Xenopus tropicalis: one gene and its partner. The protein of the gene in region 1 purifies or fractionates together with the protein of each later gene. This does not show direct contact. Links are inferred from orthologs where the notes say so. Each region holds a gene or a part of one and is shown on either strand. Other genes may lie near its edges.

The links.
Region 2: the proteins of tmem43 (region 1) and endod1 purify together in Homo sapiens (affinity purification with mass spectrometry; 3 studies listed by BioGRID and IntAct, with this or other methods). This does not show direct contact. The link is inferred for Xenopus tropicalis from reciprocal best matches to the Homo sapiens genes TMEM43 and ENDOD1.

Annotation. Positions count from the first base shown.
Region 1 is NC_030680.2:132,939,035-132,945,184, reverse strand, and holds part of tmem43 (transmembrane protein 43), read left to right. Parts: intron 1-978; coding exon 979-1,028; intron 1,029-1,275; coding exon 1,276-1,345; intron 1,346-2,009; coding exon 2,010-2,080; intron 2,081-2,470; coding exon 2,471-2,592; intron 2,593-2,679; coding exon 2,680-2,754; intron 2,755-3,359; coding exon 3,360-3,461; intron 3,462-4,609; coding exon 4,610-4,727; intron 4,728-5,894; coding exon 5,895-6,097; 3' UTR 6,098-6,150. UniProt on the Homo sapiens protein: May have an important role in maintaining nuclear envelope structure by organizing protein complexes at the inner nuclear membrane. Required for retaining emerin at the inner nuclear membrane.
Region 2 is NC_030678.2:164,554,367-164,560,516, reverse strand, and holds part of endod1 (endonuclease domain-containing 1 protein), read right to left. Parts: intron 2,606-6,150; coding exon 1,550-2,605; 3' UTR 1-1,549. UniProt on the Homo sapiens protein: May act as a DNase and a RNase. Plays a role in the modulation of innate immune signaling through the cGAS-STING pathway by interacting with RNF26.

The sequences.
Region 1 (6,150 bases):
GGCCGCGTGTCGTTGTTATGCCGCTGTATCAGCCTATATATGCCCAGCATAAAAACTACTTGAAATTATTTTAGTAATTCGTTCATATCATATAATTTAAGTTGAAATAGTTACTTCGAATATGTGAGAGATATTTCTGACATACACAGTTTTGAATAGGCACACCAGAGTTTTTACAAACAGAATTTACTGTCAAACTGGCAGTTACATTTGCATGTCACACCTATATAAATATGAATTTATTTTGAAAAAGATTTTGGGCCTTTTTTTCATGTAAAATAAACAACCCAGGTGTTAACTAGAAATCACCTACCCTATTGCAGATTCCCTTCTGCTGAATTGCAGCACCTCCTGCTGGAATATTCTGGGTATTGCAGTTTATCCACAGCTACAAGCTTTATAGGAATTCTACTCAAAAGTTTTGGGTAGAGCAGTCTTTATTAGTGTGGGGATGCAAATAGTGGTGACTTCCTAGGTCCATAAAATATATGTGTATATATAATATTATTCGTTATTATATATATTAGTGATGAACGAATCTGTGTTTCGCTGAAAATTTTGCAAAACAGCAAGAAATTTGCCAAATGCATTGAAGTGAATTGGTAACACATTTTTTACGTGTGACAATTTTTTTTCTCATGTGCACAGTTTTTTTCTAACTCCAAATGCATTAAAGTCTGTGTTTTTTCTCACTTCTTCCCGCACCTTTTCATGCGCTCAACTTTTTTCTGATTCCAAATACAAAGTCAATTGGCATTTTTTCTCTGTGAACTTTTTGCCACAGCAAATTTTTGGTGGAGTTTTGTGAAAAAAAATTGCCTAAAAAATTGGCTAAAAAAAATGGCTAAATGCAGAATTTCGCTGTGAATCCATGCCGGGTGACAAAATGTGCTCATTACTATATTATCATATATTTTTTATTAACATCATTCATATTACATTAAGTTGTATTCAACTTTGTAAAACTCATATTTGCAGACAGTATGAAGAAAATGGAGAACAGAAAACAGAGACAAGATACACCTACAGTGAGTAGCTTTCAAAACTAGAATAGAAATAACAAATCCTTCTCCCAGTAAAAGTGGCTAATGCCATTGACTATTTTCATGGGATTTAAAAAGCTTGTTCCTTATTTAATCTGTTGCCATTACACTTAAGTTAGTGGCAAACTATACTCTTTAATGCTGAAAAGCCTAGAAAGAATACATAATGATTTAATTGCCTACCCTTGTTCTACTTTTTGTAAAATGACATTTAAGTAACTGTACTTCCTAGATACTGAATGGCGATCGGAAATTGTGAGCAGCAGGCATTTTGATCGAGAGATTGCGCATCAGAATCCCAGGTGAGTGGCACACAGTTTACAAAACCACAGAAATATCATTGGAAAAGTCAAATCCACTTGTTATCTATATTTCATTGTCTGTTCTTGCTACATGCTGATCTAATAGCCTACTGTATTGTAGGAGACTTGTATTCTTTGGAGATAAGGGTACTCCCTTTCCTTAATTATACTCATTAAATAAGTTACAGTAGAGACAAGGTGTCATCAACGAAAAGATAGAAGTGCTTGAGGGTTTGGATTTAGTTTTACCAAATATATAAATTTCCTGGCACCATAGACAAATTAAAATCCTTCTGGTTCTTTTCTTTTGATTGAGGGTGACAAGTGACCTCCGTTGGGAATCTGCACATTTTGTTCTGTATATTCTTACCCCAGTGGCTAACAAGCTTACGGAATGCCTACAGTGAGATGTGGAGAAACAGTGGGGCAAACAGTGATTTGTATGTTAAAAAAGTGGTGGAACAATAAATGTGTTGTCATAAAATTTCATTTGTAGGTTATGAGGGATAATGTACCCCCTACTGTCATTTGTATGGATATACTAAGTCACTGAGGAGTTCTGTGACCTTTATAACAACTGAACCTTTAAAAAGTCACATAACCTCTCAACATTATACTCTGTATAGCCCTAACTGCTGGAAAACTGACAGTTGGTCTCTTTCAGTGCCATGGCTGTGGAATCTTTTACTGCTGTATCTTCAGATGTACAAGTTGGAAGTTACTACTTGTCAAAAGGTAAGACGCTGCTTCTGGTATGGGGAGATTGGGTATATTTCAGTGCTAGAATGCCAGCAACGTGGCTATAAGTATTTTCTGTCATATTTATTGCTTTGTACTGGAGCACAGTGCACAGCGTTACAACAATCAATTATAACTAGAACTTGGGAATAAGCCACCTGATACATGTGTAAATACTGCCCTAGATCCCAAATAAAAAACATAATAATAAAGTAGTAGGCAGTTTCACACATGAATCATTAATTTGGTGCACCAAACAATCATAGATTTATCCAATATTCAAGTAAAAAATGTCTCTTAGTAAATGTATACCTAGAAATGCATAGAGTCCTGCACAGCAATCCTCTAGCAACCTATTTATGTCCACTCCCCTCTTACATTTTTCAGGTCTTGTTGATAAAATCGATAATTTCAAGCAGATGAGCCTGTCTCAGTTGGGGAACCCACATGCTGATGTGATTGCAGATGGGGGTTATTTCTACCACAGCGCCAACCCCAAAAGTCCGGAGGTATGTTGTGTTCCTTGGATTAGTAATCTATTCTGGTACATTTGAGTGAGTCTGGAATAAACTATAGTCTTTTTCTTTTACACTCAGGTGGGGGACCTGCGCATTTCTTTCTGGTACGCTGGCGTGGCCCTGGGTGGTGCCCAGTTTGGGCAGCCAGATATGGTAACTATTTAAGTTACAGGCTAATATTAAACAAACGAACATAATATGCTTCAGCTAAGGCTGGGCAAATGTGTTGTAAGCCATGAACAACTGTCTCACTCTTATACAGTAACATCATTAATGGGACTGGGCTTTGGCTCTTTCCTTTCAGTTTTAACCTGCACTGAGAGGCCAGTGGTTTTCCTTATCTAACTCTGCCTCTGGGAGAGAAGTTTTCTGCAAGTGTTTTTTTTTTTTTTTTTTACATTTCTCCACATGAAAGTGTTCCCATACATTGGGTGGGGTAAACATTATATCTTATAGCAAATTCTAAAAGTTTTTCTCAATCTATACAAATATCAGTTTAAAAAGTTGCTGAAAATGTTTCCAACTTTCTGGCACAGTTGTGGCTGATGGGTTAAAACGAATGCAATGGTGTTCTCACTTTGACATGAATCCTGCAATAATTTTCTAAGTGCGATTGGCATCATTTCTGCCGTTCGTTGTGAGAGTAACATGTGTGCCATATGCTTTTGGGCATCTGTGCTGCTCCTATTAACAGATCTAATGGATCCTTCCAATTGCATTGGGTTGTATTCTCAGTTATCTCTCTGTTTGGGCTTCAGGTCAGTGTGATTGCTCGGCAGAGAGGAGGGGAGCTGGGTGCCTATAAAACTAAATCTGGGGATGTGCTGGAGCTGTTACACATGGGGACCTACAGCGCTCAGGTGAGTAGCCTCTTCTCTTGCTCATAATGACAACAGAACAATGATTGGTGAAACTAGAAAACATGACATGGAACCCACAAGCTGTACTTCTTATTAAACCCCAGTATAAACATGGCACACAGATTTACTTCATATGTGGAGAATGGCTGCACAGCTTACTCATCCATGCAGTAGTCTAAACTGGGCATGCTCACTAGGTGGTCTCCTATAGGCCCATCAGTACCAGCTGTGATTAGCCCTAATGTAGCTGAGAGTCTGAATGGTCCCTGCAGTTTTTTCCTGGACTGAGGCCTGATTGGTTCTTTGCAGCCTGCCTTTGTGATTGGCTGATGGTATCAAACCTTGTTCCAAATTTACGACAGGGGTTGATCTTACTGTCCTACAAAGTCCAGCGCCAAATATCCATTTTAGCTAGTCTTGGCATAGAAGTCCCGCCACCAGGAAACCAAGAGACTGCCCAGCTGTAAGCCAACGCAGCTGAACAGCAACACCAACTGTCCCATTCCTGGCACATACTAGGAACAAGACAGATTAGAGCAGGCTGGCTACTATTCAATTGCTGGTGGAAACATATGGATGTGTAGTTGCCATTCTGCAATAAATGCCTCATCCTGTTATATGAATTGTTTGTTTAGGTGGTACCCTATGTCTGTGCCTTTGTCTGTGACATTTATACAGGCATGACTTTAGTTAATATGCTATTTAGCCATTTTCTGTAGTGATTATTGTTATGTCTGGCTTTAATATATTCCATTTTCTGCACTAGTGTATGTTTTCCCCGTGTCTGTCTGGGTTTCCCCATTTCTCCCATGCACCTCAAAAACACACAGACAGGTTAATTGATTCCTGAACAAAACTGACCATAGTGTGATAAGGGGCTATAGATTGTAAGCTCCACTGGGGCAGGACTGACATGAGTGATGTATAATCTCTGTAACGGGCTGCACAATATGCTTGTGCTATATAAATAAAGGATAATAATAATTATAACTGAGATAATGAAAACACACATTACTACTACTTTTCTTCTGGTCATTGCATCCTGCAGTAATACTGTGATCGAACCTGTCATCTCATGACTAGATAAAACCTATTGAAGGGAGGCAGACCTAAAGGGCAACATAACCCAAACATCTTATGTCTTTTAGGAAATGTTTGAGGCAGAACACAAGAGTAATAATCTAAAGACCTGGGCCCTGCGTGGCGCTGGCTGGCTGATGATGTTTGTTGGCATAAGCCTGATGACCAAAATATTCTACACACTGGGTAAGCTGATTTCAAGTAAATATGATGCACATGTAGGCCAGAACCTAGCAGAGTGGCTTCATGCACAGGAAGTTCCCTATATCTAGAACAGAAATATTTTAATCACATCTTGGGTAACTTATTGTAAGGTAAGATCCTAACGGGCGAATACAAATCTAACCTATAGAAGCTGGGTATATTAGCCTTTAGCCTGTACTGGGCACTCAGGTAGATTCCTCAATCCAATGAAAGTACCACAACAATATTTCATTTATAAACTTGTAGGGCAGTGGTCTAGGTCTGGATCATTGGTGGCTAGTTTTTGTGAGAATTATCTCTTGGCCATTGTAAAAGCTGAATGCCTTAAGACAGCCACACTTAGGGGCTGATTTACTAATCCACGAATCCGAATGAGAAAAATTCGGATTGGAAAAAGAACATTTTGCGACTTTTTCGTATTTTTTTGCGATTTTTTTCGTCGCTGTTACGACTTTTTCGTAACCGTTACGACTTGCGCGAATTGTCGCGACTTTTTCATAGCCATTACAAATTTCGTGAATTGTCACGACTTTTTCATTACCATTATGACTTTCGTGAATTGTTGCGACTTTTTCATAGCCATTACGACTTTCGCGAATTGTCGCAACTTTCGTATTGAGAGCTCGAAAAAGTTCGCAAATTAGCGATCATTACGAAAAAAATGCATTCGGTCGCTTTTCGGACGTTCGTGGATTAGTAAATGTGCCACATGGTGACCCCTTTGACCAGGATGATCAAATTCATACAGTATAAGCAGATATATGGTATATTTAATGGGCACCAAATTGGTTATGCCATAGTCTTTTGGCTGCAAGAAAAAAAAAAAGACAACTTGCACTTAACCCATTACCACATGTGGGGGTCATCAGCGTGTCTGGGTGAACGGGGGCTTTTCATACTGATATAATGTAGAACACTAAGAAATGAGTGGTTGGATCAGTGCTAACCAGCCATAGACTTGTGGCACATTCTGAAGGTTGGGCAGGCATGGTCAGCTTAAAGCAAATGGCCATTGAGTGTATTTACCAAGGCCATGAGCAGGTGATGTAATGGGAAATTGCTGATAGTTTGTGTAGCTACATGTTTTTAAGGCACCTGTGTTTGTTTTTGTGATGGGTTGTGTACTAACCTGCTGTAACCTCCCTACAGTTGACTGGTTTCCTCTGGTGCGGGACCTGGTAAGTCTCGGCCTGAAGATCTGTGCCTTGTGCGTATCCTCGTCCCTCTCCCTGCTGACCATCGCAGCTGGCTGGATTTTCTATCGTCCGCTGCTGGCGTTGTTGCTGAGCGCTGCTGCTATTGGCATCATTGTACTTGCAAGGTCCCGCGTACCTCCCAAAAAGTATCAATAAGTTTATGTTGCACTCACCCAAAGGGAATTTCTAATATTATCTTTGACTTTATC
Region 2 (6,150 bases), on another chromosome or scaffold:
ACAATCAGCAAAATATATAAAATAAAAATGAAGAAGTCCATAAGGCGACAAGCAGTGATCCAAACCAAGACTATATCGGTTCCGCGGCTCCATGCTGTATTCTCTGTACATGGAAGATGGACACTTACTGGGAATGGAACGTCCTACTACAGTTTTAGAGCTCAACTAAAGTGACCTACGACTTATGAAGGAAAACGGGACGAAGGTATTAAAAAGTTAGGAAGCGGCCCAGCTATCCCGAGACATGGTATAGGGGACATGGGGGGAGCACTTGGGTAACGACATAGAAAATATTTCCCACAAATACTTGGGAGTAAGGGAGGAATGGTAGAAGCAATGGCTCCCTGGCCCCTGGGATTGGTAGAACCCTACGGACATGGTTACACAACTATGACCCGAAAAACCTTAGAGGAACTCACATGGCACAAGGAGAACTAAACCTTAAGGGGCCCAGTTACTAGCAGTCAACATTTTTCACACTTTTTGGTTTTCTCGAAATTGAATACCCCCCTCCCAGTGTAATGGGATCACCCCACTGCCCTTTATTAAAATGTTCCCTTTTCCTATTTTTCCCTTTAGTGTCTATGAATGTGATACTGGCTCATCCTGCACTTTCAGGCTTCCCTAAGCTGCTATTGTCTCCGCAGGCTGGCCGGCCAGACACCCCCCTTTTATTATAATGCCCTAACATAATAATCATAATGCCACATGGGCCAGCATAGGTATCCTATGTAATAATGATAATTTGTAGGAATATTCAAGGGCATCAGGGTTTTATGTTTGTATTTTAAATTCAATATATTATAACTCAATCAGGTAGAGGGAGTCCCAAACCTTTAAAATACAATAGACTCTATGGGGTCTTTGCTCCCCTATATAGAAAAGGGTCACACCCAGAGCCGGTGTCTATATCTAATTTGCCCTCCCTGTGTCATTGGCTCTGTGGATTAGACTGCCCTATGGCACACACCATCTTTATCCTGGATTAAAGGCTGTGACTTTGTAAATGAAGTCCAATCCCTCGCATCAACAAGGTACCTACAAAGTCATTAATTTCCTATATTTAGACTTGAATACTCTCTAGCCTGAATCCGTACAACTGCGAGCTCTAATGGGAGTACAATTCAATATTTCTGTTATTCAGCTGCTGATGGGGAAGGTCTAGAGACATCAAATTCTTCTGTACTGGGTCGTTTTGTATCGGACATTTACTGAAGAGTTAATGAGAGGAAAGAAAATACCCGCTTTGCCCTTCAACATGACCCCACCAGTGATTTTGCCAAAGTGCCTAAGTATACCCCAACCTAAGAGTCCCCAAATCACCATAACCCAGATAAGAGCCAAAGCAGCTGCCCCTTCCTGGACAATTTACTCAAAGCCAGCGTCCCATCTAAAGAGGTTCTCGTGGATACAAAACGTAGATCTACATGACAGAAACAAAAGGTAAATCGGTATGGATCCCACGGGAAATACAAATGACTTTCAGTAAAGTGCCAGCACAAAATAATCAGTCAACATTATTGGCCAAATTCTGATGCTCTATCACCGATCAGCCTTCGTATCCCTCAGACTGTCCTACAAACCTCTGGAAAATGCTGCTGCCTGCAAATGATGCAACCGAGAATGATCCACCAAAAGCCCCAAACACGGCAGTGAAGCCTAATGCAAAGACCCCCAAGATGCCACCTAAGATGTCTAAACCAACACTGGGAATGGCACAGAGGGTATAGTATGGGAAGCTGGCCATGTCACTGAGGAACCTCATCGGTATCCTTAGTACAAGACACACCACGGAACAGATATTGTCAAGGATCCGCGCCAAGCCACAGACAACATTGGCAAACACCCGGAGAACATCACATGGAATGTTCAGGAGAACTTTGCACAATGCAAAAATATAGGTGGTTACTGCGGTCCAGATCCAGTACACTCTTCCAAACACCAGGTTACAGATCTGCTTGACAAGGAACCACACCAGACACAACAGACTTTTCACTAATTCATACACAATGCACACAAGGAACTGAATAAATCTAAAAAAGGGTCCAGAGGCTTTAGCTTGGGGCTCGGAATCAGTCAGGGCTTCTGAGACCTCTTTCTGCTCGGGATGGCCAGCTCCTCCTCCACATTGGCTGGAGAACAAATTTGCTCCTCCAAGAAGTTTCTTCTCCAGTTCAGCCACGCTCACATCCTCTAGACTATCTACATCCTCAGTTCTCTTGATGATTCCAATAGACCAGGCCTCGGGGGCGCTACAGCACGCTGCCAGCCACACGGCCCCTGGAACGGACACTTTGTCGTTTATTTTCACGTCAGAAGGTACAGCTCCAACAATGAGATGCAGGCCCTCTCCGTTGCCACAGTGAGGAAGCAAGCGGTCTTTAACGAGTTGGTCAACTTCCGAGGCCCACTTATCCAGGAAGCTCTTTGTTAAAGGGACGTTATTAGTAAGGGTGTTTGGGGCTTTATGATACAGTGGTCCAGGTTGGTAATCTGAAGAACCATAGTCTCCTTCCAAGGCCTGGTTTGTACCAAGATTTTCAATGGGGTCGGAAATGTCAGCGCTGCTGGTCCCTTCCTCCAGACTGCTCCCTGCATCGTCCAGCTGAAAGATTCAGAAAAAGAATGTTGGTAACTGGGCCAGGACTGGAAATATTCCACAGAGGTGTAAACATACAGATTATATACAAAAATACAACCAATGCGAGAGGTAAAAAACATCTTTCAGATAGATTTTGCTAAGCACAGGGGAATACCTATTCATGTATTGTTGGCATCTCACAATCTCACATCCCCGAGGGTGCTTGTGGCCTGTATATTGTGAGGGTATTATATATGTATATATTTGCAGCATGCAAAAAAACAGGCCAAAACATTACATTTTGCCTCACAGTTTTGACCTAGAATGCAGCCCAAAAAGTTGTACCCTGAGAATATGGGCATCCCCTGGAATGCCCCTAGCTTCATGCACATACATCTGGAAAAGCCAAGAGGCAGCAAGGCACAGGAGAAACATGTATTTACGTCAGCCTATGGTACGATGAGAGTTTTCCACCCTGATTTACAAAAGCGTGTTCAAGAAGGAAGACGTGCAGCCCCAGGCCCCCTGCCCAAAATATTATTCCAAGGCATCTGATAGGTTTTAAATATGGAGCACTGTGCTCTGCAGATGCTGCTTTCTTTCTCCTTGAAAGCAGGAAGTCCTTTGATGTTCTCTGCACTGCTGGACCTGACCACTGAAACAATGTAGTAGTATTCAACCAGGTCTAGACTGGGATATAAAATAAGCCCTAGCATTTTAAGTGCAGAGAGGCCCAAACAGCCCACCTCCAGCCCAGACACCATTTCAAACAATGCCTTGCATGTTCTTTACAAGCCTGTTAAACATGCAATGCATTTTGGGAATCGGGGTCTTGGCTGGAGCAGAACTGGCTGCTGACAAGTACTGGGGCCCTAGGTTCTATTCTATCCAGGCCACTATCTGCAAGGAGCTTGAAGTAAGATGAACATAATAGGGACTTTAGATTAGAAGCTCCACTGGGGCAGGGACTGATGGGAATGATGTATAATCTCTGTAAAGCAGAATATGTTGGCACTGTATAAATGAAGCTAATAAAATACATGTGGGTCGGGGGCATAGGGCAGGTGGCAGAATGTTCACTAAAGAATTTCAAGAATCACTTGCCCAGTCTGGAGACCAAAGACTAGCATTAGGGCTCATATTGAGAAAGCCGCATTGCACATTACACGGGGTGCTGGGCCATAAGGCGGGCAGGTGTCACCCCTATCAGATTTACTTGTGCAATGCTCTGGTTTCTATTTCCAATCCCTTTACTAAATAGCAAATAAAATATCAGTACTGCAAAAGTGCATTGCCAACAATGGGTGTGACATTACATTCCTTCTATTATTTCATTCCAGTAGTTCCACAGGGATCTGTGAAATGTTTTGGAAAAAAACCAAAATAGATGCCATGTTATGGGGGCTTGATGTTGTGATGTTCCATATATACGCTCCATATAAGTATGGCTGCTCATTACACTGTGTCTGACCTTGCACGAGTCGATCTAATGAAAGGGAAACCAGACCGACATGAGTCAATAAAGAACCTGGAGTCTGGGAGGCTGCTGGAACTATCAAGCTAACGGAAAGTGGCAGGGGGGCTATTATGGCCTGATACTGTGCTGAATACATAGAGCACTGAAGGGCAGGAGATGGGTAGAGATTACCCCAGGAACCCTCAGTGGCAAGGTGGCGGCTTTGCAACAGAATGGGGACATTGTCCTGAAGCCGGGACCAGCAGCCATAAAAGGCCACCAAAATGGCAAATGCCCCAGCAGAGATATGTATAGTGCAGCCAGATACCTATGCTGGTACTGCTTTATGGCATGTCCCCATCAGGCTTTAGGGGCCCCAAGTTGTGGCTACTGGACTGAGAGGCTATTGTTTAGGCAAGGCTAACATTGTGCAGAACCTTTATTGAACCTCAGTTTTTAGTTTGGATAAACCTGTTATATTAAGGGCTACACAGTAGGATCATGGGACAGTGTATTAAACAGTCCCCCGAAGTGCCAGACAGTAGGGCAATTAGTTGGCAATTGGATAAACCCTCTGACTCAATCTTTAACAGTTTATACTGTAAGCCAATGAGAATTTTGGATTTATAAATATATATATATATAAATAGGTTTGGAAGGTATCAAAGGGGGGAGTATATCCCCTTTGAAAAGACAGGGAAACAAACACCTTTTCAATGTTATTGGTAAATGTAATTGCTGTTTGAAGTGATGTTTGTTTATCCAATTCTTTTCTCTATTCTCTGACTCTTGAAACAATGTCAGATCTGTTCCAGGTCTTTCCCTGGCAGACAGATACTGCTTTCATGGGCAATGACATTTACCAACTAACAAAACACTGAATATTTTTAATGTCTACTGAAAAGAATGACATTTTCTTTTATAAAAAAAAAAACACCGTTTTTGTGCAGGGGGACTCCTTAATGCAGAGATTTCCTGCATTTCCTATGACCAGGCTGCAGATTGCTCAGTATTCTCACAGACGTCAAGCAGTCAGAACACATAAAGGCTGGAGGCGGTAGAAGTGCCGATGTCGGCTTTCTTCCCTGGGCCAATATACAGCTATCAGCACTCACAGGCCTTTCGCTCTCCTTGCACTTCCCTTTGTGCCCAAAATACTGATTTCTGATAATAAACCATAAAAAAGGCAAGTAGCTACTCAGCAGTGTCACTGGTTAGGCTAGTGGCATGTAGGAATTTGGTGCCCGGTAAAAAGCATTGGCAGTCAAAATTCCCTGTGTGCCACAGGCACAGAATCCATTGACTGGCCAAATGGACAGATAGCATACTATGCCCCATACACACAGAGAGTTCTGGGTCCGCTTCACTTCCAGTTGACCAGTGGAAATTTCCATCCTGGTTGGCCGTACATAACTAGACAGTCAGGCAGTATGGTGGATGTTGGTCAAACTGCCAGACCAAATATGGGCAAGACTGCTGTGGGCCATGATGGGTATGGCACTGTTTATAGCTGTCATAATATTTACTTTGTAATGTATATTACAGTCCATGGGGGGGGCTACTCCATGTTTTTTTTTGGCTACTAGGGCCATAAAGTGACTGGAAACACATTACCCTCAATGGTTGGTTGGGGGCTGCACTTAAGTACATGAAATATAAGCAGATAAGAAACAACCAAGGACCCCAGCACTACAAGGCAACCTGTCAACACCACTCCCAGCATCCTTTGCTAGATCTCTGCGATGCAGAAGTGGCCCCCCAACCGCTTTAGTGGAGCCTCTTGCTGCCATTAGATCAGCTTTGCCTCCATCATTAATAATGCATGCCCACAGATGGCCGCTCTGCAGCCCTAGTCTCGTTGTGATGACAAGATATTTAATACAATGATAGGAAGTGATCTGCATTATAAATTGCTGCCTGTGACAGAATCGCTTAACCCTTGATTTGCTCCAAAATCTTACACCTCATGTCTCATTCGGTTGGGTACAAAATAGCTGAGCAGAATCCTGGCACTGCTGGTATCCTAATACTCCCAGCTTGTTTCCTATCAACCAAACTGTCATCTCTATTTACCCATAACTGCCAATCAATATATTATATATTTAAAAAAATA